4 linked regions of the Notamacropus eugenii genome follow. The protein of the gene in region 1 purifies or fractionates together with the protein of each later gene. This does not show direct contact. Links are inferred from orthologs where the notes say so. Each region holds a gene or a part of one and is shown in the gene's direction. Other genes may lie near its edges. The genes, in order: FOXO1, SKP2, SIRT2 and ATG7.

Region 1 (8,014 bases):
ACAGCCTTGACCAAAATGAGATTGCCTAGCTGATCTCACACTCAGAATGTGGGGTTGTGAAGAAGTGGGATTTTAATTTTAACTCCAATTGATAGCTGCAGACAATGAGAACCAATGTGGATAAGTGATTTGCTCAACCTCACAGTGAATTGATTTCAGAGTCAAGAGCAGGAGACTTTCCACTTAACCCAACAACTTCTTCAAAGGGTTGTAAGTCATTTTGCACACATTCTCATTTGAGCTGATTTACAACAGTCCTGTGAGCTACGTACTACTGGTTTAATGTTTCCCCACTTTATTGATAATTAAGTGGAATGCTCATGATTTGCCTATTGAGGTCACACTGCAGTTAATGTCAGAGGCAAGATTCAAACCCAGGAACTCCTTGACTTCAAATGTAGAGTACCATCTACTTCACGAAGTTACCTTTCTATCAAGACAGAGGCCTTGGAGCACTTGGAGGTAATTTTTCCTTAAAAACTTTGTTTGTTCATCTGTATGGCTAGTTATGAAGACAATTGGGACTTGGATTTACTGTGTCAACTCCAGGTGCAAGTCCTGGGTTACTGGGTGCCCTCTGGTGGCACTATGGGTGTGTATTCAAAGGTACGCTACTCCCCTACTGAGGGAGGAAGAGGATGATGATGATGATAATGATGACAATGAGGGTGTGTGTGTGTGTGTGTGTGTGTGTGTGTGTGTGTGTGTGTGTGTGTGTGAGAGAGAGAGAGACAAATGGATTGTGATTTTTGTCCTCCTGGAGAATTTCAGAAGTTTTTTTGTTTTAAGCATTGGTAACCAAGGTAGGGGAACTCAGCACCCTATGATTCTGAAGAGAAGTGACAGAAACCCTTCCAATATTCAAGAAAAGCAAAGTCAGGGCCCCCTTGGAGGCAGTGGGTGGGGAATTACAGGAAATGTTCAATTAACAACTTGAGTGAGATGAATATCTATTTATGTTTTATATAAGCTTTGCATTTTTCACGGTGCCTAGTACAATATCCTGGCTATAGTAGGGGCATGGTCAATATTTATTGATTTGAAAGGTTTCTTCAGTTGTATCATAGATTCAGAGATATATTAGAACCTAGACACTGTCTTCAGTCTCCTCCTTGAACAGATTAGGGGGAAAAAGATCTGGCAATATTTTAAAAATTAAAGCAAGTTAGTCTTATTTTATTATGTAGAGGTTATGTGGTTGGCCCTATACCACTAGTAGGGGCACGAGATGGCTAAGTGGAAAGAGTGCCAGTCCTGCAGTGAGGAAGACCTGAGTTCAAGTGTGACCTCAGACATTTACTAGCTGTGTGACTCTGGGGAAGTCACTTAATCTTGTTTGCCTTAGTTTCCTCATCTATAAAATGAGCTAGAGAAGGAAATGGTAAACCATTTAGCATCTTTGCCAAGATAACCCCAGAGTCACAAAAAGTTGGACACAATTGAACAACAACAAATAAAATTAGTAAGTGATAGAACGGAGACTATTCCCTGGATCTTCTGGCTTCTGATTCTTCGAACTTTCTATACGCCACCTTATAAGGGGTAGTGGAGTAAGGATAAAAATTTGAAGGCGATAAAATGTGAAATGTAATTAAATACTGAAGGGTTTTCACATGCCTGTCAGGGGTTGCAGCAACCCTACCATAAGAATTTGGAGAACTGGTGTTTGACTATAATTGTTTCCATTTTTATATTTTATTATTAACAAATGACAAACATGAGCATTTCAGTGTACAACAAATGAAAAACAGTATTGTGTACAAAATTGTTAATTATTACCTAGTATTTTAGGTGTATATTAGATTCAACCTGAATAACAAAACTTCACTGATTGTGTTCCCTTGAACTTCCTTATGTTTCATTCTGTATATTTTAAATGTTTCATTGAAACATTTTTTGTACCATTAACACTGCCTGCCAACTCACCCCCATAGAAGTGACAAATATTTTACTATAATTCTTCCTTGTACCCTCCTTATTTTCTACTAACAACACTAATTGAGTACAAATTCTATATAATGCACTGTGGGATGCTACAAAGAAGTACCATACTCAGTATCTGCATTTAAGGAATCTACTGAGCAGTTGGGGAAATAAGGTATACCAGTATGAAAATGTAATATATATGAGTTAAATGGCAAAAACCAAACAACAGTATAAGTGATGTCACAAGGCAGTACTATTTATAATTACATGCTAAACGACAGGCAGTGGAACAGGAAATCAGGGCCATGAGTTCAAAGGGAAGAGAGGTCATCGTGGGCTAGAGTTTTCAGGAAGTCTTCCTGAGTCTTGCTCTAGGCCTCAAAGAACAGGTACTAATTGGAAAGGTGCAAAGAAAGAAAAGTTCATTTTAGGTAGGGGCAAGAAACCAAACACAAAGCAACAAGGAAGCAAGAATTAGTACTATTCAAAGTAGTGCAGTCATTCTAAAGTGAAGAGTTTATGTTAAGGAGTAGATGAAAATAAAATGGGACAGGTAGGATAGACCCAGATTGTAGATGGACTTGAAAGCCAAGCAGGGAAATTTAGATGTGAAGTTTGGAATGAGGCAGTTCTTGTAGAATGATCGAAACATGAAGGTGGTTTCTTAGTCTGACAAACATCAAGAGAATGGCTTGGAATAGGAAGGAATCAGGATAATCCAAATCAATAGGGGCCTATTGCAAATAACATAGGTGTGAGGTGATGGAGGGGGGGGGGGGCGGTTCTCTACTAGAGTGAAGGCAATTGAAATGGAAATGAAGGGATGGATATGAGATTTTTATTTGTCTTTCTTTCTTGCTTCTTTTTTGCAGAAAGAGCCATAACATTCTAACCCTTTACCAGTTTTATAATTGTTGGTGGGAAGAAAGGAGATTGTCTAGAACTGGCAGCTGTCAATTTAGACAAGATATTAAAAAAAAAACAACCCAGTTGTTCATCTTCTATGTTAAGTGATTCTGTCTCTCTGGAAGGAAATGTCTTCCACACCCCCTCCTTTAAAAAAAAAAAAACTTAAATAGAAATCTATTTCTCCTGCTTTCTGAGACACAAGGTCCATTGTCTTTCTACTTCTGGCCCCATTCACCCTCTACAGGACTTCCTGGACCTGTTGCCCTGCTTGGGGAGAGGGGGAAGGAGAAGAGTCAAGGTTTGATTGGCCCAGAAGACAAAAAATCTTATTACAGCCTGGGGGTCCTTTAGGGGTGGGAGTAGGGCTGGATAGTATGTAGCACAGAGATTTGGGCATATTACCCATCTTAAAAAAACAAAAACAAAACCCAAACCCAAACCTTTTTAGCCCTTTTAACTGGGAGACAAATGGCATTAGCAGCATATTAGACTGTGAGACCTGGGGGCCTTGTAGGTCATCGAATCCGATACTCTCATTTTGCAGATGGGGAAATAGCTCAGAGAAGTTAAGTGATTTGCCCAAGGTTACAGAGTAGCAGACCCAGGACTAAGAACCCAGGTCTTCAGACTCTTCTTACCATCAGCTGTCTCCACAAAAGGTTAAACATTGAATACTAGAGCCAGTCCTCCCGGACTGTTTGTGCTGATAACAATATGGTCTCTTTACCACCCCTCCTTCCAACTCCCACCCCCGTTAGGCATTTCCTGACCTCCCAGGGAAAGGTGTCCTCCCAGACTAAGGCTGGAAATCCTTTCAGCCAACTGCTAATGAAACAGGGGGAGAGAAAGGTTCCACTTCATGTTAAGAATGAATTCTGCCTCCCTGGGTATGTGGAACAAGGATCTCTTGTTTCCCTTTTCTTCGACCAATCTCAGATTTTTAGGTGAGTGGATCGAGGTCCATCTAGCGTGTCACTCTGTTCAGTCCGTTCCTGACTGGTGGGTGAAAGGGGCAGTGAGGACTGGGCTGAGCCGACCTGACCCTAGGTCTGACAGGACTCCGTCAGTCCTCCAGTTTCTGCTTAGGCTGCAGCTGCCAGGTGGGTGGTTAGGTTCCTGGAGGAAATGGAAAGGATTCACGGAGAGGGAGGGAAGCAGAAAGGGGGAGGAGGGGAGGCTGGCCCTGCTTAATGGAGCTGTCAGTCAGTCCTCGGCATCAAGGCTAAGTCTCGGAGTTCTGCACGTGGCCGGGGTAGGTATGGGGGAGGTTGTAGAAGCAGCGAGAGAGAGAGAGAGAGAGAGAGAGAGAGAGAGAGAGAGAGAGAGAGAGAGAGAGAGAGAGAGAGAGAGAGAGAACGCCTGACTTCAGCATCCCACCGAAGTAATTCCGCGTGGGGCTCGAAATAGGTGATTGCACAAAAATTCACGACATTTCTTTTCTCTCCACGCTAGTTTTTCTAAAGCGCTTAGAATTCCTGTAGACCTTGCACGCACACGCCGCCGCCTGCCCCCGGGGGTTCCCCATCCTCTGAGCACCCCAAGAACGAAGAGGCAGGGCGAGGTTTGGGGAGGACCCCCGCGGCGGCTGCACGATCCGCCCCAGAGGCTCCACATCTCCGCGACTTCGGGTCCCTCCCAGGCTTCTCCTCGGCTCCGTAGTAAACAAACGGCGGTCGCCGCCTCCACGCGGATTTACCTCGCCGAAATCAAAACACAGTCTCACAGAAACACACTCGAGAATTACCAGAAAAATAAGGATCCAAAAAAAAAAAGAGAAACCACGAAAACCTCCTCCTCCCCACCTCCCCCACCCCCCAAACTGAGCCACTGCCTCCTCCTCCCCTTGGAACAGGAGCCCCGCGAAATTGACAAGCCAGGCGTTTGCCGAGCAGCGCGCGCGCTCCCATTGGCTGCGGCGCAGCAGCCACTCAGCCGGGGGGGCGGGAGCTCGCCGGGACTCCGCCCCGCGGCTGGGTGGTGGTAGTAGATCCCGTAAGTCTGGTGTGGGCCGGCGAGTTGCTGCTGCTCCCTCAGCCAGCCGCCGCCACATTCAACAGGCAGCAGGAGCCCGAGCAGCAGCCGCAGCGGCCGCCTCCGCTGACCCGCGCGAGCCGTGGAGGCACGGCCGCGGCCCCCGCCCAGCCGCCGCCGTCCGCGCTCGCCCGCTGGACGCCTCGGCGGCGGATTCTGCCCCTTTTTAGCTCCGGGCCGAATCGAACCTGCTGTCCGGCGGCCACTGCCACTGCCATTGCCACTGCGGCCGCCGGAGCCGCGGCAGCAGCAGCTCGGGGGAAGCGCAGGCATTAATTCATAAGCCCACGAAGTTAAGTTCTGGTTTCTCTCCCCCTGCCCAGCTCCCCTGCTTCTCTCTACGCCCCCCTTCCCACCCCCGCTTTCCCCTCCCCCACCCCCAGCCCAGCATTTAACTCCGGAGAAGTCCCCTCCCCCACCCCTTCCTCTGGTTTCTCTCCTTTTCGCTCTCTTGTGGCCGGGGGGAGGGGAGGGGGTCACCATGGCCGAAGCGCCTCAGGTGGTGGAGATCGACCCGGACTTCGAGCCTCTGCCGCGGCCTCGGTCGTGCACTTGGCCCCTTCCCAGACCGGAGTTTAACCAGTCGACTTCGGCCACCTCCAGTCCGGCCCCCTCCGGCGGCGGCGGGGCAGGGAATCCCGGGGATGCCGCGTCCGCCGCCTCGGCCGCTGTCAGCTCGGACTTCATCAGCAATCTGAGCCTTCTGGAGGAGAGCGAGGACTTCGAGCAGCCCTCGGGTCCCGTGGCGGCGGCGGCCGCGGCCGTGGCTGCTGCTGCGGCGGCGGCGGCGGCAGCGGCGGCGGCGGCGGCCGCGGGAGGACTCTGTGCGGACTTCCAGTGTCCGGAGACCACCTGCCTGCAGCAGCAGCAGCAGCAGCAGCCGCAGCCCGGGCCCCTCCAGCAGCACCCCCCCGTGCCCCCGGCCTCGGCGGGGCCCCTGGCCGGCCAGCCCCGCAAGAGCAGCTCGTCCCGCCGCAACGCCTGGGGCAACTTGTCCTACGCCGACCTGATCACCAAGGCCATCGAGAGCTCCGCCGAGAAGCGGCTCACCCTGTCCCAGATCTACGAGTGGATGGTGAAGAGCGTCCCCTACTTCAAGGATAAGGGGGACAGCAACAGCTCTGCCGGCTGGAAGGTGAGGCCGTCCGAGCCCGCACCCCTGGAGTGGGGGGGAGGGTGCCCAAGGGAAGCCACGAGGGTGATGCGGTGGTGCGCGGTGGTCACCACCAGCTCCGGGATGTGGGAAGAAGGAGGAGGCTACGGGGAGCTAGGCGTGCGGGTTTGTACCCACGAGGAGGGGCAGCTGTAGAGCTAGCTGCCCCCCACCAGTGTCCGGTCCTTGTTTGCAGGGAACTCTATAGTAGTGTACGTATAGGGCTAACTCTGAGATTTGCAGGAAGTGTGTGTCTGTGCGTGTCTGTGAGTGTGTGTTTTGGCTGGGGGGGCTCTTTCAAGTGGATCCTTTGGGAATAAAGACGGGTACATATGCAGTGATGATACATGTGGAGTGGATGCTGGGGTCGGGACCAGGAAAGCGAGAGAAGGCTTGACGCAGCAGGCCCATTTCCTTGTCATCCGATCTTAGACTCAGACCTGGAAGGGACCTAGAGGTCATTTAGTCCAACTCCTTCGTTTTACTGACTAGGAAACTCAAAGTCGAGCAGATATTAAAGGGAAAGAGCCGGGAGTTGAACCCACGTCCTCCAAGTCCAAATTCAACGATTCCTTCTTTAATATTGTTAGGGAAGTGCAGGGGGAGGGTCTGGAAGCCCCGGGAGTCTCTGCAGTGTGTAATCCATAAATTGGTGCGGAGCCGTGATGCCATTTCCCCTGAAACCTAGAGGGGCAGCAAAACAGGGGTGATGTGACAGAGAGAGTAGTGTAGGGTGAGTGTATGTGTATGTATAGGTGCGTGCGCTGGACTTCGGGGAGTGTGGAACAGGCAGGTGGAGGAAAAGAAGCTTGAGGAAGCTGTTTTGGTCCGGGCCTTATAGTTTTCTTGGAAGACCCAGGACTCGTTTTGTTTTGATTTATCAGAAGTGACCCCGGGTTCAGGGGGCTGGGCACCAGCTAAAAGAACCCGGGATAGCTCATCCGACACGTGCAAAGGGGCGGCCACAGCTGGCGGGGTTTACGGGCGCTGAGCTGCTTTAGCTGAGTTAAAGTTCAAGTGTGACACTTTGGAGGGGGTGGGGTGAGAGGGAGGGGACCTCAGGGGTGGTTGCCTGGAGAGGGACTGAGCTAAGAAAGCCAGCATTTTTAAAGGGCCAGTTCCTTTTCCCGAGATCTGACAAACCCTTTTGGGTTATAAATGCAATCTCCGGGCCTGTGATTGCGTTGGTAGGAAAAGATGGAAGCGCTTCCCGACTTAGGCTGGCCTCATGTATAAATCTTCTAATTAAGAACTGAGGTTTTAATTTAATTCACCTTGGGCCATACATCATTGAAGTACGGTGTCAGGGACCTTTCTGTTACAGGACAGTGTGGGGACCAGGTAGAAATAAATTGAGTAGCATGAAAGAATGCTCTGAAGTTTTCCTTAAAAGAGGATTGGGTGTAACAGTGTTTTAGACCATTCTGTCCTTTAGACTCAATATGGGACTTATTCACTTACTGCATCAGGCTTCTGAGATAAGCGGTAGCAACTTTTGAGGAAGCAGAAACCTGGGAGGACCATCCCTCAGTGGTCCTGCCGGTCCTTTCTTCACAGCCAGTTCTAATGGTATCATAAGGGTTGAAAACCATAGCAGTTGTTCACTAGTGTGACCAAAAGTCTTTCTCTTGAGTCTCCTTCCCTCCCCCCCTCCCCCATTTTGAGGTTCACAGCATAACCAGAGCTGAGACTTGTTGGGCAATTGTTATAACAAAGTTGTTTTACATAAAGGTCATACACGTAGTTAATTAACGTGTGACCAAAAGGTCGAACTACTTAACATTATTTGGAAGCTCTTCCTCAAGTAACTCGTTTTGTTTCCTTAACAATTTTCATTGTGTTGGATTTGAAAATAATCACATGCCTTAAACGCTACTTTAAGGTGTGTTCTGTATCATTTTACCACCTCATATATAACCCTTCCTTTCATGAGAAAGTTATGAAAGGCGTCTGTTCTTTTACATTAAAATAATCTAGGTTATCCTCAAAAACAAT
Region 2 (7,428 bases), on another chromosome or scaffold:
TGTCCCCCAAACTATGAAAATGCTCATTCCTGTTTAACTAGCTATATCATTACTAGGACCATATTCCAATGAAATCAGAAAAAGAGGAAAAGGATTTATTTGTACAAAAATATTTAGAGCAATTCTTTTCATGAGAACCCCAAACTGGAAACTAAAAGAGTATCCTCTCATTAGGGAATGGCTAACCAAGCCACAGTGTACAAAAGTAACAGAACATTACTTTGCCAAAAGAAACTTAAAAAATGGGACAGTTCGAGAAAGACCTCTATGAAATGATGTAGAGCAAAGAGAACTAGGAAAACGACTTTCCCCAATATCAAAATTGTAGAGTAAAACAAATTTGGAAAACTTTAGAAGTCTGACCAACACAAGTCCAAAAAATGATGGAACATGATACCTCTTGACAATGTGGTGATAAATTAAAATACATAAGACATGCATTTTCAGACACAAAGTAGGAGTTTGTTTCATAAGCCTACAGCTGTTGTAATGAGGGCTTTATTTGGTTAGTTTTTTTCTTACCCTGATCCATGATTTAGATAAAGGGAATGGGAGAGATTAATAAAGAAAAAAATGACATTTAGTAACAAAAATAAATTCCAAGAATTCTCTCTTGAATTTAAGTTCATTTCTCTTGTTCAATCCTTTGTGATAAAAAAAATTGATCTGTAATCTTCACCTTGAACACTCTTCATATACTTCAAGATAAACATTAGATAACCCCTATTTATTTCATCTATCAACTCCTTGAGAAACTCCTACAATGTTTAGGATCCAGAAACTAAAGAAGTCTCAAAAGGCAGAACCAGAGTAACTATGACAAAGGGTAGAGTAGATGCTAGAATGTTGTAAAGAGAAAAAAAATTCAGAGCAGCGTAAAGCGTAGTATTAAACTTTCAAGAAATACTAAACTTTCTGAATTAGTTGAAGATTAACTGCTTATGGTGGACATTATGTGAGGGTAAAGTAGGAAGACAAGGAGTCAGTTTTAATTAAATATGCCTTTAAGGCACATAGTTATTTTATCCTTTATCATTACAAATATCAACCAAGGAAGTCATACCTACTTTGAGAATGTTTTATATTTAACAAAGTAAGAGACGCTTTCTGGAATATTCTACTTAGGTACCTAAAATTTCTGACTATACACCATGGACCTTGCCCATTTATCCACAAGGTAAACAAATATCCCTAATACCTTTACCTCTTTGTTTGTTTAAGAGCCAAAGAGAACTTAAAAGGATTACATCCCAGTTCTTATTTAATGTAGGTGATAATCATTACAGCTGAGGCGGCAAGTATAAGTGTGGTTGAGATCTGTGATTTCAGTGGCATAGAGAACTCAAGTTCTCAACTGTAAACTTTCACCACCAAAGCAGATGCCTGAGGCACTGGAGATAAAGTGACTGTTCCAGGGTCAGTCGGTAATATGTCAGCACCAAACCAAGTTTCCCTGACTGAGGCCAGCTTTCTCCATCTACTATTCCCACAATTTCAGCCTGGCTTCAGTGCCATTATTTCTATAAAAATGAATTCTTAGCATATTTGATTTTTTGATACTATTACACTATCCTTATTCCTATAACTAATTCCACTTGTAGTCAGCTGTGATTCCTTGTTCTTATTCTGTTACGTCCGTGCTCTGCCATTCGCCCCCTGTATCTGTTTTTGCCACCAAGTACCTTACACATCCCAGTAGGATTTAGTCCAATAGAGACAGGTCTCCTTTACCATCACTGTGAATTCTATTTCAAGCTTCCAAAGTGTTGGCAAATCCCTGCTCAATGGCATCAAATACAATAAGCCCATTATTAACTCACTTACCTAGATCACTAATAAATCTCTTTACAATAATCCTGGTCATGGAATAAGAATCATATCTTTGTGTAAATGCAAAACGAGGTGTTAAGGAAGTGAGCCTTAATACAAAAAAACCTAAAATTCATCAAGGGTCTGTATTACTCAGGAAATGCTAAATCTAAGCCAGGTGCAATCAAAGCTTGTGGAAAACATCTAACTGAAGCTGATGGGCTGGATGACTCCAAGTTTAAAATGGACAAAAGCTGGTTTTAGGCTAACACTCTCAATAATTTAGATAAACTGAAGGGAGTTAAGATGATGGGTCAGGACTGAATATGATGAATAATAAACTAACCCCCATGAAGCACGCTGAGGAGGCTGCAGTCTGCGGACACCTGTTCCTCCAGGGCAGGACTGGGCTCTCTAGAGCTCCACTCAGGAGGTTCAACAAGAGGTCCTGCACAGTCCACCCACCCGTAGCCTGCACACCTTTGAAGTGAGGGCTGAATGAGAGATGTTCCTAATTCACAAACTGGAACTTCAGACCTTACACTAAGCGACACCAAAGACGCCACATTCCAGAGAGGGTATGAGTCAAGAGAAAGCCTAGCCTGCAGACGGATATCGCAGACAGACAGCCAGTCTTTATGGAACCCTTCCCGTATCTCCAGGTTTTCTAACCGTAGTCACTAGTTAATTATCAACGATCTGTGCAAAGGAAAGGGGTAAAGACAAAAGGGTTTGCACGTAGCTTGGGCACACGTCCTCTTTGACCTAGACGTACTCTTTTGGATAAAAACATAATTATTTGCACTGAAACGCTCTTTTGAATGTCTTCTTCCCCAGAGGAGAGATGGAAGAACTGTCGAACCTTCCGGACTGACAGAAGAGGCGAGGGCGCGTCCCCGCCACGATAATGTCACGATAACGAAGCTAAAAATGGCTGGGAAAATAAAGATCATCCGCTTACAAGAACCACCTCAGTTTAGTGAACTACGCAGAGGAAGCCTCAAGCTGACGTAGTTTGAAATAAAGACAGCCAATTCAAGAGGTATCGATCGTCGCTACCGCTTAGCAATCACCCTTTTGTTTCCCCAAAGCCTCCTTTTATTTTCAGACTCACAGGCACCCTAACCTCCGGGATCAGGAATTCCCTGAAAGGAAAGGGGAGAACGCACCCCCCTCCCCATCCATCCCAGCCTCCGTCCGTCCGTGCGTCCATCCACAAAGAAGCTGACCACTGAGATCAATAACCACTCACATCCGGCGGGAAGGAGGCTTAATTGTGCCCACAGATACGTCATCTTTCCACGGTTCCGAGCAAAGCCGGGGCAGGACCCGAAGCAGGACCCGGAGGCTGCTCAGGGACTGCGGCATTAGGCGGGGGGGGCCTAACAGCGGAGCAGAAAGCGTCCTCCCCGCCCCCCCCCCCGGGAGGCCCGCCCGGAGCCGCAGGTGCCCGTCCTGCCCGGGGCCCGGAAGTGGTTCCGTCATCCCGGGGGGGATGTCCTCCACGTCTGGGCCCTAGGACCCGCACCTTACGGGGTGACGACCCGGGGGAGGGGGCAGGCGACCCCCCCCGTTCCTTTCCACGCCTACCCCCACCCCCGGCCGCAGTGTGGTGATGCTTCCCAGGACAGACTCGGGATCCCGGGGAGCCGCCCCTCGCCGGCCGCTGCCCCCGACTCACCCGGACGACTGCGCCCCCCTCAGCAGGCGCGGCGGGCCCTCGGGGTCGCCATCCCCGCCTCGGCCGTCCCCCACGGCGCGTTCCCGGAGCCCCGATCTCACCGTCCCGCCGGGGGGCTCCGTGGGCCAACGGGCAGAGGGGCCGCGAGGACCCGCCGGCGCCTCCGCCGTCTCGGGGTGAGCGCGGAGCAGGGCGCCAGGCAGCGCAGGAACACCGGCTGCCTTCAGGCCGGTGACATTTCTCCGCCGGCCCCCTCCTTCCCTTCCGCTTCCTCGTGCCTACGTCACCGCTCTCCCCAGGCCTCGCTGGCGTCCCGCCCCGCAGGGGCTTCTGGGTTATCGTAGGCGGGGCCGGAGTGGGAGGAGAAGTGAGAAGGGGCGCGCGAGAATACGAAGAGTGGGCTGAAGAGACGGCCGCAGACCGACGATTTGGCAGGAGGAAGGAGACTACAAATCCCAGCAGGCAGCGCGCCTGTCCGGGGCCGCCTACCGAGAGAGGGAAAAGGTTCCGCGCGCGGGTTGAATGGGACGCTGCCCTGCTGGGTCCGGCTCTGCCTGCGGGGCGTGGAGGTGCGGCTGCGGCTCGTGGACGCGGGAAGCCTGGAGATCCGGGGCTGAGCCATTCATGCGAGGACTTAAATCCCCTAGTCTGCCCCGGCAAGTCCATCATGCACAGGTAACCAGACCTATTTGCGGGGGTGCACAGCGGAGGTATGGAGGAGAAGGAAAATGTGGATGCTGTGCCTCTCCCCTGGACCTGCGCTGTTTAGCCTTCCCCGCTTAGGCGCTTAGGGGCACGGTAAGTTGGCCAATGGAGGCTCTGGCCTCGTGGCTCTGGGAGCTTCTCTCCAGCCTCCCCGGCCGGGCGTGGGGGTTCGTGTTTTTTCCTCCTCTCCCCCGTCTCCCCCTCCCCTTCTAGGCTTTTTAGATAAATGCACATGTACCCCAGCTCACCACTTAGCAGCCACCCGGACGGCTGAGACTCCCCTGTGCGTTCGCTGCCTGTGCCAGCCCGGGTTGGTTTGGCTCGGACGCTTCGTGGGGGGGATGCTCATTGATGGAAAGCTTGTCAATTTCCTGCAGGAAACACCTCCAGGAGATTCCCGATACAAACAGCAATGTTAATTTCACCTTCACGTGGGGCTGGGACCTCCACAAGACCTCGGATCTGCTCTCAGGCATGGGGGTTGCAGTTCTGGAGAAGGAAAAGGTGGACACTGAAAACATCCCCCAGGAGCTGCTCCTCACGCCAGCCCCTCCGCCCAAGAAGCAGAAGGTGAAAGCCAGGGAAAAGGACTTTGTAATTGCCCGCAGGCCCAGGCAATCCAAAGAGAATAGTTCAGGTAAGTCTGAAAGCCTGAAGTTTGCTTGTTGTACTGCAACACTTCCAGGAGTTAGTAGAAAACTTTTAGGGATGACCGCTAAGCACCAGATCATAGGTTCGGAGATGGAAAGGGGCCCGTGGAGTTCAACCCCCTCTTTCCACAGATGAGAAAGTTGGTAAGAATAAGGTCTTAGGGCAAGACAGGTAAGTATATGTCAGAATCAGGACTTGAATCCTGGTCTTCAGACTCTAAATCCAATAGTGTTTCCAGATGTATTATATTTGCAGATCTCAGTTTGGAGAGTCCATTGAATTATGAAATGGTATATGGGGGACAGAGCTATCAGGATCTGGTGTCCCTCATCTTAACACATACTGGATTTGTGACTTTTGGCTAGTCTCAGTACTTAAGACAGTTATATTGGTACAGGGATGTTCCTCACCCTTTGTTTTCTAAACTGATTTAATTATTGTTCCCAACAAAAAATATAGATTAGCCAATGCCTTCAGTCTTGTCCAGGAACATTTAAAATTTTTACCTTCTGGTCATGATCTGCTTGAAGATATATCTAGGTACATTCCAACCTTTTCACTAGATTTGTGACATGCAGAAGTGAATACATAAATCATGGGGAAGAGTTTGTAAGGTGAAGATCTTGCAGGTTTGTGCTTTGGTTTATACTGTGCAGTACTGCCCTGTACTTATGCATGGGCCTTTTTTCTACAGTCTCTACACTTGGTATTGGATAAGCACTGAATCCTAGATGGGCAATTAAGGACCTTAGGCTTACTCCTAGGTTAGAGTGCCAGACAGGGAGTCAGAAACTCTTCCTGAGTTCAGACCCAGCCTCAGCCACTTACTAGTTGTGTGACCTTGGGCAAGTCACTTAACCCTGGTTGTCTCAGTTTCCTTATCTGTAAAATGAGCTGGAGAAGATGGCAAACCACTTCAGTCTTTGCCAAGAAAACCCTAAATGGTTTGAATAAATGGAGTCAGGGAGAGTTAAGCATACTAAAAAGACAGAAATACAACAAAAGGCTTACTCCCCTGTGGCAAAAGGCTAAGTAAGTATTAGATTAAGTGATGACCTTACCTGAGAAGTAGGGGGAGGAGTTAAAAAGTTTGTTCTGTCCATGAAGTTCTGGAACAGAGGCAGCCTAAGTCTGGTTTCAAAGGCTACTGACCTTACAAACAATTTAGATTATCCCGAGGGGAAGAGAGGAAAGCAGTGAGGTGCAATATCAAAATAATAGACTCATTTCTTTTTTTAAATTCATTTATGTTTTCAGTTTTCTACAATCACTTCCATAAGTCTTAGATTTTCTTCTCCTTCTTTACCCTTTCTTCCCCCCTCCCTCCCCAAGATGGCACACAATCTCATGTGGGTTCTATACATACATTCTTATTTAATGCGTTTTCACCTTAGTCATGTTGCATAGAAGAGTTAAAATGAATGAGAGAAACCATGAGAAAAAACAAAACATAACCCAAGAGAAAATATTCTGCTTCATTCTGCAGTCCTGTTCCATAGCCTTCTCTGGATGTGGAAGGCATTTTGCCTCAAGAGTCCATTGGGAATGTTTCAGGTCCTTGCGTTGCTGTGGTTGTCTAAGTCTACCAGAAAAAGTCCTCCTGCGCTGTGGTTGTTACAGTGTACAAAGTTCTCCTGGTTCTGTTCCTTTCACTCAGCATCAGTTCATATAAGTCCTTCCAGGCCTCTCTGAAGTCTTTCTGTTCATCATTTCTTTTAGCACAATAGTGTTCCATTACTTTCATATATCACAGCTTGTTCAGCCATTCCCCAATTAATGGGCATCCCTTCGATTTCCAGTTCTTGACCACCACAAAGAGAGCTGCTATAAATATTTTGGTACATGTGGGACCCTTTCCCATTTTTATGATCTCTTGGGGATACAGTCCTAGAAGTGATATGGCTGGGTAAAAGGGTATGCACATTTTTGTAGCCCTTTGGGCATAGTTCCAGATTGCTCTCCAGAATGGCTGGATCAGCTCACAGTTCCACCAACAATGAATTAGTGTTCCAACTCTCCCACATCTTCTCCAACATTATCATACTCCTGTTTTGTCATGTTAGCCACTCTGATAAGTATGATGTGGTACCTCAGAGTTGTTTTGATTTGCATCTCTCTAATCACTAGTGATTTAGAATATTTTTTCATATGACTACGGATAGCTTTAATCTCTTCCTCTGAAAACAGCCTCTTCATATCCTTTGACCATTTATCAATTGACAATGGCTTGTATTCTTATAAATTTGACTCAGTTTTCTATGTATTTTAGAAATGAGGTCTTTATCACAGACACTACTTGAAAAATTCTTTCCCAGTTTTCTGCTTCCCTCCTAATCTTGGTTGCATTGAGTTTGTGCAAAAACTTTTCAATTTAATGTAATCAAAATTATCCATTTTGCACTTCATAATGTTCTCTGTCTCTTGTTTGGTCATAAATTTCTTCATCCTCCATAAATCTGACAAATACACTATTCCTTGCTCCCCTAATTTGTTTATAGTATCAGCCTTTATACCTAGATCATGTGTCCATTTGGACTTTATTCTTGTGTAAGGTATCAGGCATTGGTCTATGTCCAGTTTCT
Region 3 (7,060 bases), about 71 Mb from region 1:
TCTGAGGAGGAGATGGAGGCAGAGAAGGTGAGCCAGGAAGGCTGCTGGTCCACAGGGGACAAGGGTGGCCAAGGTGGCACATGGAGGATGGAGGGCAGAGGGGATCAGGAAGGCTCTGTCCAAGTCCTGCCTCAGGCAACATGCAGTGCCTACTATGGGCCAAGCACTGGGGTGTGTGCTGGGGGTACAAGAGAGGGAAAAGACAGGCCCTGCCCTCCAGGAGCTCATAGCCTAATGGGGAGACAACGTGCACACAGATCTATAGGCTCTAGTCAGTATGAGTAGCAGAGGGAGGACCCAGAGGGGCCTGCCTGCATGGGCAGAGAAACTTCCTTAATCTGGGAATGGCCTACATGGATGAAATCCTGGCCTCTGGAGGCCAGAAGAGGCATGGGGTGATGAAGAAGGGTCTCCTTAGAGCACTAAGTGACATCCCTCTCCCCGCCCCCCCCCCCCCAGGAACATGAACTGGCTCGCCTGGAGCAGATGGGGGAGGAGCTGAAGAAGGCAGCCGAGGCACTGGGCAGGAGGGGCTGAGAAGCAAATGTGAATGCCAGGCACCTGCCCCACCCACCCTCGCTCATCTCAGAAAACTGGGCTACGGACTGGTTCCTGCCCTTCTTGATCAGCCCCTCTCCAGGTGGTGGGGGGAGGGAGCAAGAGAGGGTCACCAAGAAAACAGACTGGGGGGGGGGTCAGAGATTTCTGCCCCACCTGCTCCCCTCTCCCCCAACGTAAATAAAGCACAGATAAAAGCATGCCTTTCCTCCCATTGGTCTGTTTCTGAATTCAGATGCTCTGGCCCCAACAGATCCCTGGACACTCCAGCCAGGGGAATGAGAGTTTTATTGAAATTAAAGCTTTTCTACAAAAAAAAAAAAAAAAAAGCAAAGAAATTGGCTAGAGATAGCCAGCAGGTGAGGAAGGTGTGCCTCAGTTTCCACTTCAGCTTCCGTGGACCACGATGTCATCATACTCATCCTAGAGGATAGTGGAGTCAGGAATTGATTCTCCTTCATCCTGGGCCTCCCCCCAAGTTCCCCATCTCCCATCAACCCTCCCCTTCTGGAACGATCAGTTACCAGACCACCCTTCCCCAGTGCTCTCTCTTCTTCCATCCCATTCATCCAAGTTTCTCACTGGCTGAACTCCCCCAGGTCACTTACACCTTCATCAGTATCGCTGCCTCTCGGGCTGGAGTCTTCCTCTTCCTCAGACTCAGGTTCCGGGGCTCCATGAGCACGCAGGAGACGGGCGAGGAGGGGGTCTGACCTCAGCGTGGCACTACCCAGCGGGGTACGGCCTCCATACATTTGGGCCTTGGGGTCTGCGCCGCCATCCAAGAGTAGCTCCAGGACCTCAGCTGCCTCTGCCTCCACAGCCAGGTGGAGGGGACTCCGCCCACACGTGGGCTCCTGATTGGGAAAGAGAGTGCATGTAAAGGACATGTCCCCCCTTTCTGGAGCCCCAGCCCCCACCCCCTCATCTATCCCTAGTCACTACTGCTGACAACAGTCTCTTCCTAGAGGTTAGGCCTGTCCCCCATTTGAAGGACCTGGTATCTTCATGCCTAACTCACCTTGTTTTTCAGACCATGTATGATCTGAAGGGGACCCCGCTTGTCTCAAAGAAGCCCCTCTGCCCACTGTGGGTCGATGTCTGTTTTATAGCTCCCTCTCAGAGGAAAGCAGTAATCTCCCTCATTTAGACTCCCCCAATCTAGAGAAAGGAGCTGGGGGTGCGGAAAAGAATCTCACAGAACAGATACATGGAAGGAGGGGAACAGCAGCATGGGAAAAGGGAGGAGGGCCTGGGAGTTGAGGGCAGACAGGGTTCTGTATCCTTACTGGTTTGTTGAGATCTGCCCCTGCTTCCCGGAGCAGCTGAACCATCTCTGTGTCCCTGTGGATCACAGCCACATGGAGCGGAGTGTGGCCTGTGGAGTTATTTTAGAGAAACAAAGATTTAGAAGGCCTTTAGGGAATACATTTAGAAAGCATTTAAGGCAAATGAGCATACTCAAAGGAAATGGGAGAATATGCATTTAGTGGGGATCTGGCCCTAAGTTCAAATCCAGCCTCAGACACTCACTTGCCTGTGTGGACTGTCCCTGGGCTAGTTCCTGAACTCATTTGTCTCATCTGTAAAACGGGGAAAGCAGGGGAAAGTGATGACACCTACTCCACTGGGTTGTTGGGAAGATCAAATCAGATAATGCTGGGAAAGCCCTTGGCACAGTGCCAGAGGCAGAGTCACTCCTATGTCCACGTAGCCATGGCTACTGTTTGCATCCCCCTTGTTGGGAGATGCTTCCAGCCCCCAGGAATCAGGCTGCGTCCATGACAGTGGGGAGAAGCATTGGCTGGGCCATACCCTGGTAGTTGGTGCACTCCAGCTGCTCCCGTCTCTCCTGCTCCTCCTCCTCCTCCTGGGCTGTCTGGCCCTCAAGGGGCCCCAAAAGGGCCCGGGCACAGGCATGAGCCCCAGCCCTGCAGGCCAGGTGCAGGGGCGTGTGCCCACCTCGCTCTGCCACACAGAGCCCGGCCCCTGCGGCCCGCAGCTTCTGAGTGAGGGCTGCCTCCCCCAGAATGGCCGCTATGTGCAGAGCCGTCTGTGGACAGAGGAACACAAGTGCAAGCAGAAGCCAGTCAGTCCTGGGGGTGGGGGGTTGGGAGGGCCTCTTCCTGGCCCTGCCGGCCCCATCCACAGGTAGGGGAAGGACCTCACCTGGCCCAGGTCATTCTGGAGATCCAGGTATTCAGTACCTGCCGTGAAGTGAAGCAGGAAGTCCAGGAAGGCTTCGTGCTGGTGAATCACTGCCAAGTGCAAGGCCCTGGGCAGGGGGGACACAGAGGGTCAGGGAGGTGGGGGTCGGGCCACCTTCGAGGCCCCGTTGCGGGGCAGCAGGGGAGAAGGAAATTAAGCTCCCTAAAAGAGTCACCGTTCAAAGGGAAAAGAAGGGGGTCAGGCGGGGTCAGGGGTCAGAGGCCAGGAGGTTTGGAGAGGGACAGAATGTAGGAGCAGGAAAACTAATCCAAGCCATAACTCAACGTCCCCTGTCCCAGGTGATGGCCTGAGGACCCCCGGGGCCTCCTAGCCCTGCCTTCACACCTCCCCTCCCTCCCTCGGTTTCCCCTCCGGTAAGGGGCGGGGATCCCCCCTCCACCTTTCCACGACCCTGGGAAGGGGAGAGCCTTGGGGGCAGGGGCAGGGGCAGCGGGCCGGCCCCTTACGTGTCCCCGTCGTCCGTCACGTAGCCGAACACCTCGGGCGCCCAGCTAGCTGGCTCTTCGTCCTCGTCCTCCTCCGTCCTGTCCCGCGGCCCGTCCGCCGGGGGCCCGAGCCCATCGGGCCCTAGAGACCCGAGCCCGCTGTCGCACCACTCCTCCGCGAGCCCGCTGTCCCCGGACTTCACGGGCCCCGCCGGGGCCGCCATGGCCTACGCAGAGCCCTCCCGTCCCGGGCCCCCCCGGTCCATCCAGAGTCTTGGTCGCCACAGCCGCCGGCCCGGGGATTCCGCGGACCCGGGGAATTCCCCCTGCTCCCCAACTCGCTCAGCGCTTCGACCAATCAGGGAGGGTCGCACCGCCCTTTTTAGAGATGACTGCCAATAAGATCGCGCAACCTTTCCGGCAGGGCTCCGCCCCTCGCACCAAGTTGTCCAATAGAGGCAATAGACGCATTTGGTCGGCTCGGCTCGTGTATCCGCCCTCAGTCCCGCTTTACCCGGACGGCTTCCGGCGCCAGGCACACTGGGAATCGTGGTTTCTCTGTGAGCGGTGGGTCACGCCGGCCTTCAACACGGCGGAAAGACGGCGCGGGGCATTGTGGGATTCCCGCGATGGCCACATGCTCTTCTGGGAATTGTAGTCCATAGCCCGCCCTGCCTGCCCCCGCCCCCGCCCGTGTCCTGCGCCGTCACGGGACGGAGCAGTCGGTGACAGCCCCGAGGGCCCCTGCCCGCCCCCCACGCTGCTGAACCCATCCCCGGGGCCGGGCCCATGGCCGAGGCGGACCGTGAGTCGGGGCACGGGTGGGCTCTTGGGCCGGGCCTAGGACCAGGCCCTCTGGGCGAACGGCTATGGGGACTCGCCACCCGGAAACCACCGCGTGGGGCCCCGATCTAGGGTTGCGGGGAGGAGAATGGGTTGGGCCCTGGGGGCCCCAGTCTCCGCAGCGCCGGCTAAGGCTGGTTGGGAGCCAAGATGGGGGGTCCTAATTCCTGGGGTGTCCAGTACCTAAGGGCCTCGTTTTAGGGTGGAAGGAAACAGGTGCCGCGGCTGCTGCGGGGTATGTGGTGGAGTGGATCTGGTTACCAAGGACCGTGACCTCTGGGAAGCCTGGTACCTGGTTGCTAAGGGCCCCTCTGCACCCCTGCCCGTGGCCAGTTGGGGTCCCCCTCCCCGCTTCTCGCTCCCGCCGCCGCCCCCACGCTAACGGCCTCCCACCCCCCCTCCAATGTAACCCTGTCTCCCTACCCCCCTTCCCTAGCCCCCGGTCCCCCTCAGGACGAGGCAGGGAAGGTGCAGGATGCTCAGGTGAGAGGGGGCGCCCTTGGACGTTCGTGATTGGCTGGCCGGGGAGGGGACGAGGTCTGTGATTGGCCGCTAGGGGAGGGAGAGGACGTCTATGATTGGCCCGTGAGAGGATCCGCGCCTCCCCCGCCTGCTCCCATCACTCATGGCTCTCCCCGGCTTTCCCCCAGGGAGTGGGTCGCCCCGTGTCCCAGATCCACAGGGCTTATTCACCCCGCCCCCAGCCCTGAAACAGCAGATCCGCCCGCCCATCCCCCATTCCGAGGACCCTAACCCCCTCCTTCCCCACCTACCCTTCCCTCCTTTGACCTCCTTTCCCCAAACTGTGCCCCTCCGCTTCCCTCTCTGGCTCTCCTTTCTAATGACCCACCTTCCCTCTGACCCTCTTTCCACTGACTCCCCTTTCCCAACCCTCCTCCCGTGATCGTCCTCCCCAAGCGCCAACCCTCTGGAGCCCCCCTTGACCCTCCTCCCTCTCTGGCCGTTTTCTCCCAGGACTCAGATTCAGAAACTGAGAGTGGAGCTGCATCTGGAGAGACAGAGAGTAAGTTGTCCTGGGTGGTGAACTGGGGGGGGGGACAAGACTGGCTGAAGCCTAGTTGGGACCAGTGCCTGCCCTCTTCCTGCATAACATCATCCTCTGGTCTGCCCCACAGTGGACTTTTTACGGAATCTCTTCTCCCGAACCCTGGGCCTGGGCAGCGGGAAGCGAGAAAAGTTGTTGGATGAACTTTCCTTGGAAGGGGTGACCAAGTTCATCCAGAGTGACCAATGTGAGTTCTTGCTTCTCCCCATCTCCTTTTCTTAGCTCAGGTTGTCTACAGGATGTGCCTTACCCCATCCACCCAACCTCAGCTCCCATGTCCCGGGTTGGGACCACTTCTCTCCCTCCCCTTACCCATTCCTCAGGAAACCCAGTGAGACACATCCAGACCAGGTGAGAACTCAGGACTAAAGGGTGGGACTCACCTTAGGATTCCACAGGGCCAAAGCAGTCCGGGTAGGGAAGTTGTCCTTCCAGGGAATGAGACTAGAGAAACAACCCCAAACTGCTCTGGTCTTGAGGTCTCTCCCCTCACCTTTTTTCTCTTCCAGGTCAGAATATCATCTGCATGGTAGGGGCAGGGATCTCTACATGTAAGTAGCTGCTTCCCTGTGCCCTCAGGTTCCAAACTCCCCCCAGAATGGAGAAGGGGGGCCAGATCCCCAAAGGAGCTAACCTAGGGGTTGGGATAAGGCCCCTCTCACCAGTGAGGTGGCCTCCCCCAGGGATGCCTCTTCTATTACCCTTGTCCCCAGCTGCTGGCATCCCTGACTTCCGCTCCCCGTCCACCGGCCTCTATGCCAACTTGGAGAAGTACAACCTTCCCTACCCTGAAGCCATCTTTGAGATCAGCTACTTTAAGGTAAAACTGTCATTAAGAACACCCCACTTTTCAAGTTTTCACAGACTCCTTGGAGGGAGAACCCTTCCCTTTCCTGAGCCTTCATGCTTTCAAACACTAGCAGGGCAGATCCTGCAGCTAAATCCTTCATCTTATCAAATATCACTAGTGGGCCCCCCAAATCTGGGCTGCTGATCCTGGGTAGGGGATTGTAAGGAGTGAAGGGTTCACGTATCTTCATCTGTCTTTGTCTGTTTTCCCCAGAAACACCCTGAGCCCTTCTTTGCTCTGGCCCGGGAGCTGTACCCAGGGCAATTTAAGGTGAGCTTAATCAGAGGAAAAGGAAAGGAAAGGTACACAATTGGGGGACAGAGTCAGGGCTTCCCCATCTGGGCTTGGGGGGGGTGGGCTGCTCCCCACAATGGGTGGGAGAAGAAACTGGGAAAGTCCCAGTTGTCTAACCACATCAAAGACAATGTGTGTGTACCCCTTGGCCCTCACTCCCCTCCACCCCTCTGTAGCCCACCGTGTGTCATTACTTCATGCGCCTGCTCAAGGAGAAGGGCCTACTGCTTCGCTGCTATACCCAGGTGAGGGCAGCCAGGGAAGGGGGGAGGATGAAATGCCCACACTCTACAGGCTGTGTCCTACAGAGGCAAGTCTGCCTTGCCAGACCCAGTGGGCAGCCCCCCAGATGGGCAGTGGCACCAAAAATATAATTCTTCCCCAAAATAACCACAGTGCATCATTTGACTTCATTTGTCCTTTATAAATACTTTTGAGTTTTATTTTTGGAAAGAACAAACATGTTCTATGATATCTCTGTGTTCGAACGTTAAATTGATGACTAGCCAATTCTTTCTTACCCTAGTCAGATTTTCTTTCCATCCATTCTGATGTGAACTTTCGATTTAGTTTAATTTCAATAAATAATTTTCAGACGCTGTGGCGGAAAGCTGGGTTACACACCTGGGCAAATGCACAGTTCCAATTTCAGAGCCCCTCCCCTCAGGGAGTTTCAAGTCTAGTAGGGGGATAAGGAGGAGACGCTCTAACTGACTGCTTCCTCTTCCCTCTCCCCCAGAACATCGACACACTGGAGCGGGTGGCTGGGCTGGAACCAGAGGACCTGGTTGAAGC
Region 4 (7,695 bases), on another chromosome or scaffold:
CTAGAAGGAAGAGAGTTTAACCCCATGGGGGGCAACTGACAACTGGACAAGTGGGAGAGTATGGAACCCAGGGAGATTACCAGGGAAATGTAGGGAAAAAGTCAAGAAGGGGGTATAGATAAGGGAACAGGGGGATAGGAGGTACCCTACTGTAGTGCAGTGGCCTCTCTGACATCTGAAGTATTGGCATTGTTCTGAGAATGAGGGATAACAGAAAAGGGAAATCCATGAGGTAATACCAACAAGGCAGTGGAAGAAAGTTCCTAGAGAGTAGAGCCTAGAATGGATACATAGGGAGCTTTTATTGTATAAAGAATAAAGAGAAAAGAAAGAGACCAGATGATTATAGGAGTTATGAACCAGAAAATGAGGGTATAGAGTAAACAGAAATGGAAGACAGATAATGAAGAGACTAAAATCCTTTTTGGGAAGGGGTGCAAAAAGTGAAATAAAAAAAATAATGAACAGGATTAGCTAAAAGAAAGGAGAGGAAGACAGAATCTATATGACTAACAGAGAGAAAAAAAGGGATAGAAATATATAGTCAGATAAAAATAGGAGATAAACTAATAAGAAACCCTAAAGGGAAAAGGATAACAAACGAGAAGAAGGTATCAGGGAAGAGAGTCAATGGGATCAAGACCACCTTTAAAAAAGATTAAAACAAAGTAACTAAAGGAATATAATACTGTATTTACCACAGAAGAGGGGAAAATCATAATTTGACAAATGTATTCTTAACTAAACAAAAGATAGGGAGTTACAAAGGATAAAACTGATAACCTTAGTTACTTAAAACTGAAAAGCTTCTGCACAGATAATATTAATGTATCTAGGATAAGATGCAAAGTGATTGAATGGGGGAAAAAAATCTTCATATCAAATTTCTCTAAAAACAATTTCTCTGATAAAGGTTTGGTATCCAAGAAAAAATATATATGTAATATCCACACGCACATACACACACACACCCTCACACACAATTAATAGCCATTCTCCAAAAGATAAATGGTCAAAGGATATGAATAAACAGTTCTTAAAATTCTGCAAAGTATTCACAACCACATGAAAAAGTGGGGGCGGAGCCAAGATGGTGGAATAGGAGGGTGACCTGTAGAAGCTCTCCTGCCACAGTCCATAAAATACTTGCAAAAATGACTAAACAAATTCTAGAGCAGCAAAAGCCCCAAAATGACTGAGGGCAAAAGATTTCCAGCCCAACGTAGCCTGGAAGGTCGACAGGAAAGGTCTATGGTACTGGACTCAGAGCAGGGTGCAACCCAGTCTTGGCAGTGCTGTGCCAGGGACAGGACTGGAGCAGGTTGGGGCATGGAATCCCAGGCAGCAGCTGCAGCTCCAAGATCCCTCAACCCACAAACACCAGAGACAGCTTCAAAGGTCAGTGAGAAAACTCTTTCAGCTGGGTGAGAGGGGAGCAGGGTCCTCCCCTAGCCTGGGCCCCAGGCTGTGGGAGCAACAACAGTGTCCATTTTTGAAACTCTCAGCCTAAAGCCCCTGGGGGAATTGAGCCAGTGATCTGAATCTCAGCCCTGAGTAGCAACCCTGGGGTGAAGAGGAGCACTGGTGGTACCTCTGGAAAGGGAACCCTGCTGGCAGATCCTGGGCAGAATAGAGTGCTTGTGGTTACTCCCAGACCAGAGCACAGGCCAGGAGAGGAGTAAACTCCTCTCCCTTGACTGTGCCACCTTGGAGGAACTGAGAACTTACAGGTCCCCAGAGTATACCCTCCTCTTGACAAAGGACTCAAAAGTCAAGTAACTGGCTGGGACATTGCTCAAAAAAGGGAAAAAAAATGAGACTGTAGAAGGTTACATCCTTGGTGAACAGGTATTTTCTTCCATCCTTTTGGTTGAGGAAGAACAATGCATACCATCAGAGGAAGACATAAAAATCAAGGCTTCTGCATCCAAAACTCCAAAATAATATGCAATGGTCTCAAGCCATGGAAGAGCTCAAAAAGCATTTTGAAAATAAAGTAAGAGAGGTGGAGGAAAAATTCGAAAGAGAAATGAGAGCAATGCAAGAAAATCATGAAAAACAAGTCAACATCTTGCTAAAGGAGACACCCCCCCCCCCAAATGCTGAAGAAAATAACACCTTTAAAAACAGACTAACTCGGAAAGGGTCCCACATGCACAAAAATATTTATAGCAGCACTCTTTGTGTTGGCCAAAAATTGGAAATCTAGGGGATACCCATCAATTGGGGAATGGCTGAATAAATTATGGTATATGAATGTAATAGAATACTATTGCGCCATAAGAAATGATGAACAGGAAGACTTCAGAGAGGCCTGGAAAGACTTATATGATCTGATGCTGAGCAAAAGAAGCAGAATCAGGAGAACTTTGTACACAGCAACAACCGTAATGTGTGAGGATTTTTCTGGTAGACTTAGAACTTCATTGCAATGCAAGGACTTAAAAAATTCCCAATGGTCTTTTAAGGCAAAATGCTTTCCACATCCAGAGAAAGAACTATGGAATTCAATCACAGATTGTAGCAGATCGTTTTCTTTTGTATTATGTTTTGGTTTGTTACATGATTTCTCCCATTCATTTTAATTCTTCTATACAACAACATGACTTTGGTGAAAATGTATTTAATAGGAATGTATGTGTAGAACCTATATAAAATTGTATGCCATCTTGGAGAGAGAGGGGGAAGGGGGGGAGGGAGGGGGAGGGAGGGAAAGAAAAAAATCTAAGTCGTATGATAGCGATTGTGAAACACTGAAAATAAAAAAAATAGACTAACTCAAATGGCAAAAGAGGCCCAAAAAGCCAATGAGAAGAATGCTTTAAAAAGCAGAATTAGCCAAATCGAAAAGGAGGTTCAAAAGCTCACTGAAGAAAATAGTTCTTTAAATATTAGAATGGAGCAGATGAAAGCTAACGACTTTATGAGAAATCAAGAAATTACAAAACAAAACCAAAAGAAAGAGAAAATAGAAGACAATGTGAAATATCTCACTGGAAAAACAACTGACCTGGAAAATAGATCCAGAAGAGACAAAAAAGTGCTCCAAATCATTAATAATAAGAGAAATGCAAATCAAACCCAACTCTAAGCTCTTACCTCCTTATGTAAAAGAAGGAAAAGGAGAGGGAGGGATACATAGGTTGTATGGTGATGTGAGCATCTTGAGAACAGGGATTCTCTTCTGCCCTTCTTTGAATCTCTGGCCCTTATCATATTGCCTGGCATATAGTAAGTTCTTGTCTCCTGAGGAACCTGTATTTGAACCCAGAAGCAATAGAACTGAACTTGGGACAACTGATTGGTCTAACATTGGAAAAAGAGTATGACAAGGCTGTATATTATCACTTCATTTATTTAAGTTATATGCAGAGTACCTCATTCAAAATGCTAGGCTGGATGACTCAAAAACCAGAATTAAACTTGCCAGGAGAAATCAACAATCTCAGATGTGCAGATGATACTACTTTGAAGGCAAAAAGTGAAAAGGAATTAAGAAGCCTTGATGAGGGTGACAGGGGGAGCACATAAAAGCTGGCTTGGAGCTTAACATAAAACAAAACAAACAAAAATACCCCTAAAATCTTGGCAACTGGTCCCATCATTTCCCTGGTAAATAGCAGTGTCAGATTTTATATTCTTGGGCTCAAAGATCACTGCAGAAGACACTTGCTCCTTAGAAGGAAAGCTATGGCAATCTGGAAAGCATAGAAGAAAGCAGAGATATCACCATGCTGACAAAGGTCGGTAGAGTTAAAGCTGTGGTTTTCCTAGTAGCAAGGTATGGCTAGGACAGTTGGACTATAAGGAAAGATGAGCTCAGCACAATTGACTCTTTCCAGTTGTGGCCAGGGGAGGCCTTTTTGAAAGTCCCCTACACAGCAAAGTGATCAAATCAGTCAATACTAAATTCATTCAGACTATTCACTGGAAGATCAGATACAGAAGCTGAAGCTTAAATGCTTTGACCACATAATGAGCAGAACTCATTGGAAAAGACCTTGACGTTGGTAAAGACTGAATGTGAAAGGCATAGGGGAAGGCAGAGGATGAGTTGAGGGTACAGTGTCATGGAAGTAAGGAATGTGAGCTTGGACAGACTTCAGGAGATAGTGGAGGAGAGAGGACCCTGATGTGCTGTGGTCCATGGGGGTCAGGTAGAGTCCCACAGGCCTAGACAGACATATGAGTCTTTAAAGACATGCTAATTAAACCCAGAAGAGGGACATCCAACTCCTTCATTTTACAGATGAGGCCGCTGAGGCCCTGCCAAGTTAAGTGACTTTGCCAGGGGACACAGGTGGGAATTGTGGCCGGCTTCAGGATTTGTCCCCCGGACGTGACTCCCATCCCTGTAAACTTGTCCTTGTACCACCCTGGACCTCAGAAGGAGGACTGGGACCAGGACAAGCAAGATAGCCTCTACCTGGCAGGAACACGTTTGGTATATTTCATTCGGAGGCTGGTCTCTCTTGATTGGTTCTTCCGTGTTTGACCACTCCCACACTCCACGAAGCCCCACCCACTTTCCCTTTAGGCTGCCTCCCCTCCCACTTCTTCCCTTGTATTTCAGTTCCGCGCCGCTTTTCCTCTGGGGCATGCGCACTCCCCACCAAGTGCAGGCCCCTCCCTCGGGGGGGCGGGATGAGCATACGTCATCAGGGAGCGCGGGGAAGAGGCGCTGCGGTAAGCTAGTCGCCGGCTGGCTGCTGCCGGGGGTTTCCGAGGGAGAGTCGGGGGTCTCCGAGGCGTCTGTGACTCTGACAGTTAGAACCCCGAGGGCAGCTTTCGTGCTCGGGCTCCCGGGTGCAGAGAGCGGCGCTGGGGGCCAGGTCGTGAGGGTGTCCGGCCGCGTCTCGTCCCGCGTTCTCGCGGGCGGGGGCCCTGAGATGCAGCTGCCTGTCCCGGCCCGGCCCCCGGCCCTCGGCCCGCCGCCTCCCGAGCCCCCGGACTCGCTCCTGGCCGAGCCCGTTCCGAGAGCCGGAAGGGTCCGGAGCGGGCGGAGACCTCGGAGCTAGTCTGGTCCCGCTCCTGTCTTTGTACAGCGGAGGAAACTGAGGCTCAGGGGCTGGGGGCCGCGCCGACCTCGGCTCCCGGGCCCTCCGGCGCCCAGCCCCCCTCACTTCCCGTGGCTCCTGATCGACTTTAAAAGTATTTCTCCCCGCCACCCCCCACGGTAGAGTTCTAACCCTGGAATGTCTTTAACCTTCGTCCAGCCCCAGCTGCGATCTGTGCAGAGAGCTGGGGGCGATGAGGCGCAGTGGGGGGTGTTCCCAGAGACCCAGGGTCCAAGGTGGCAGTGCTCTGCGGGAGGTCGATCCCAGGAGCTCTCGGAACTCTGGCCGAGCCTCTGTTTGCGTTCTGACTTGCTTCTTTGGAAAGCGGGGAGGGGGAATGAATGGGGATGAGTTGCTGGATTCCTAACTGGGACAAGCCTCCCTTCTTTTGGGTGGGTCTGTATTTAAGGGGAATCTGAAAGAGAAGCAACCAAACTGTTCACTTCCCTATAACCTCATTCTGCAGTTTAGGGAATTCCCTTGCATTCCAGATATATACAGAATAATTTCAAGAGGGAGAGAGTACTAACCATAGCCCGGATGGATACCCGAGAGAGGCAGAATTAAGGAGGGAGTGCATTCCAGACAGGAGGGGACCACCTGTACAAAGGTGAAAGTGTGTATATGGAGAAACAGCCAAAAGGAAAGTTTGGTAATGTGAAGCAGTGTGAAATAATTCCAGAAAGATAGGTGGTGGGGGCAAGATTTTGGAAGGCTTTTTCAATGCCAGACTGAGGATTTTGTGTTTTATGGTTTTCTGTTGGATAGAGGCTGTCCCATATTAGATGCTTAATAAATTCTTATTAATTTCACATGGTCAGATCTGTATGGTAGGAATATCAGTTTTACAGCAATGTGGAGAGTGGGTTAGAGGGGGGACAACTGGAAATAGGAATGCCAAGGAGTTTTTGCAATAGTTCAGAGAGATGATGTCCACATGAGCTAGGGAAGATGTTGTAACATGATTGTATAGAAAGGAGAGACGTGGAGGTAGAATCAACATGATTTAGCTAATAATGAGATGTGGAGGAGAGAAGAGTTTCTTATCAGAGTTGTCAGTCTGGATGATTGGAACCAAGGTAGTGAGTGCCCATAATAGATATAAAGGAGTGGTGAAGTGATAGGGTTTTTTTGAGAAATGCAGCTTTGGAACATTTTGAGCTGAGATGCCTTTAGGACGTGTGTGTGTGGTGTGTGTATACATGTGTACTAGGTGACATTTATATGGTGCCAGCCATATGTTAGGGACTTACAAAATATTTCATGTGGTACAAATATTTCATTTGATCCTCACAACAACCCTGGGAGGTGGTTATTATCCTCATTTTACGCTTGTTGAGGAAACTGAGACAAACGAGAAGCAATTTGCTTAGTGGTCACATAGCTACTAAGTGTCTGAGGTGGGACTTTGTATTTAGGTCTTCCTGACTTCAGACCCAAGCCAACACTCCATCCAGTGTGCCTCCAGTGCCCCTTCTTAGGATTTGGATAATTGGAGCTAAGGGAGCTGAGGAGACAAATCATTAAGAGTATAGATGGAGAAGAGGCGGTTCAGGATAGAGTCTCTACCCATAATTAGTGGGTAGGAGTAATAGGATGATATAGCAAAGAAGTGTGAGAAGGATTGGTCCGAAAGGAGAACCAAGAGTGCTGTGTAATGAAAGCTAAAGGGGCTGGAGGAGGGGGAGGGGGTGATTGACTGTCAGAAGCCACAGAAGGACCAAGTACGATGAGAATTGAGAAAAGGCCATTGGATTTAACAGTTAACAAGATCTTATCTTGACAGAGAGAAGTGTCATTCCTGTGGTGAGATTGAAAGCCAGACTATACAGATTTAGAAAAAAGGGGACAGGAAGAGGTAGAGGTAATGAGATAGATAATTTCTAGGAATTTGGTTGTGAAAGAAAGTAGGGAAAAGGTAAAGAGAAAAGAAAGGGGAGGTAACAGCTTAAGGGAATGTGGGTGAAGTGTCTTGTTTAAGTAGGAGGGGAACAGGCCTATTTTAGACTTGTGGAGGAACCATTGTATAAGGAGAACTTTAAGGGGAAAGAAGGCTGGAATGATATAAAGGGCAAGTTCTAGAAGAGACTCATTGGGATGGATTTGAGAGTATAGCATACAAGTAGGGGTTTGCCACTGGCAAGGCAAAAACTTATTTCTTCATCAGAAACTGGAAAAGTTGGGAGGAGAATTGGGGATAACGAAGAGCCATTTTGCTGAACAGAGTGGAGGAGGAGAAAGGAATCTGATGGATGACCTTCTTTTAAAACATAGCAGAAGACAGGGTCCTCTTCTATTTTTAAATTCAGTTTTAGTTGGTTTTATTTTTTTCTCAAATGAGAATCCTTGTCTCCCTTCTGCTTTGCCCCCTTCCCATTTGAGAAAGCAAGAAAAACAAAATCCCTGTTCCTAACATGTATAGATAAGCAAAACAAATTCCTGCGTTGGCCAGGTTCAAAAGCATTGCTTCAGTCTGCACTGAGTTCATTACCTCCAAAGTTGTTTGTCTTATAACATTGACTTATGACTGTATTAATTCTCCTGATTCTAATTACTTCACAATCATCAATTCATACAAGTCTTTACAGGTTTTTCTGAAATCATTCCCTTCATCATTTCTTATATTACTTGTACAGCC

What was found.
Region 2: the proteins of FOXO1 (region 1) and SKP2 purify together in Homo sapiens (affinity purification with western blotting; 4 studies listed by BioGRID). This does not show direct contact. The link is inferred for Notamacropus eugenii from reciprocal best matches to the Homo sapiens genes FOXO1 and SKP2.
Region 3: the proteins of FOXO1 (region 1) and SIRT2 purify together in Homo sapiens (affinity purification with western blotting; 3 studies listed by BioGRID). This does not show direct contact. The link is inferred for Notamacropus eugenii from reciprocal best matches to the Homo sapiens genes FOXO1 and SIRT2.
Region 4: the proteins of FOXO1 (region 1) and ATG7 purify together in Homo sapiens (affinity purification with western blotting; 4 studies listed by BioGRID). This does not show direct contact. The link is inferred for Notamacropus eugenii from reciprocal best matches to the Homo sapiens genes FOXO1 and ATG7.

The regions. Positions count from the first base shown.
Region 1 is NC_092876.1:103,132,902-103,140,915, reverse strand, and holds the start of FOXO1 (forkhead box protein O1), read left to right. Parts: upstream 1-4,943; 5' UTR 4,944-5,347; coding exon 5,348-6,001; intron 6,002-8,014. UniProt on the Homo sapiens protein: Transcription factor that is the main target of insulin signaling and regulates metabolic homeostasis in response to oxidative stress.
Region 2 is NC_092875.1:424,995,101-425,002,528, reverse strand, and holds the start of SKP2 (S-phase kinase-associated protein 2), read left to right. Parts: upstream 1-4,295; 5' UTR 4,296-4,546; coding exon 4,547-4,832; intron 4,833-7,428. UniProt on the Homo sapiens protein: Substrate recognition component of a SCF (SKP1-CUL1-F-box protein) E3 ubiquitin-protein ligase complex which mediates the ubiquitination and subsequent proteasomal degradation of target proteins involved in cell cycle progression, signal transduction and transcription.
Region 3 is NC_092876.1:32,024,220-32,031,279, reverse strand, and holds the start of SIRT2 (NAD-dependent protein deacetylase sirtuin-2), read left to right. Parts: upstream 1-3,874; 5' UTR 3,875-4,001; coding exon 4,002-4,017; intron 4,018-4,256; exon of another isoform or gene 4,257-4,343; intron 4,344-4,491; coding exon 4,492-4,538; intron 4,539-5,030; coding exon 5,031-5,079; intron 5,080-5,191; coding exon 5,192-5,308; intron 5,309-5,630; coding exon 5,631-5,672; intron 5,673-5,834; coding exon 5,835-5,941; intron 5,942-6,184; coding exon 6,185-6,241; intron 6,242-6,441; coding exon 6,442-6,510; intron 6,511-7,004; coding exon 7,005-7,060. Other genes in the region: CCER2 (coiled-coil domain-containing glutamate-rich protein 2), read left to right, coding at 1-27, 460-537; NFKBIB (NF-kappa-B inhibitor beta), read right to left, coding at 946-981, 1,167-1,415, 1,848-1,936, 2,374-2,611, 2,728-2,833, 3,234-3,436. UniProt on the Homo sapiens protein: NAD-dependent protein deacetylase, which deacetylates internal lysines on histone and alpha-tubulin as well as many other proteins such as key transcription factors.
Region 4 is NC_092874.1:433,684,334-433,692,028, reverse strand, and holds the start of ATG7 (ubiquitin-like modifier-activating enzyme ATG7), read left to right. Parts: upstream 1-4,599; 5' UTR 4,600-4,686; intron 4,687-4,996; exon of another isoform or gene 4,997-5,176; intron 5,177-7,695. UniProt on the Homo sapiens protein: E1-like activating enzyme involved in the 2 ubiquitin-like systems required for cytoplasm to vacuole transport (Cvt) and autophagy.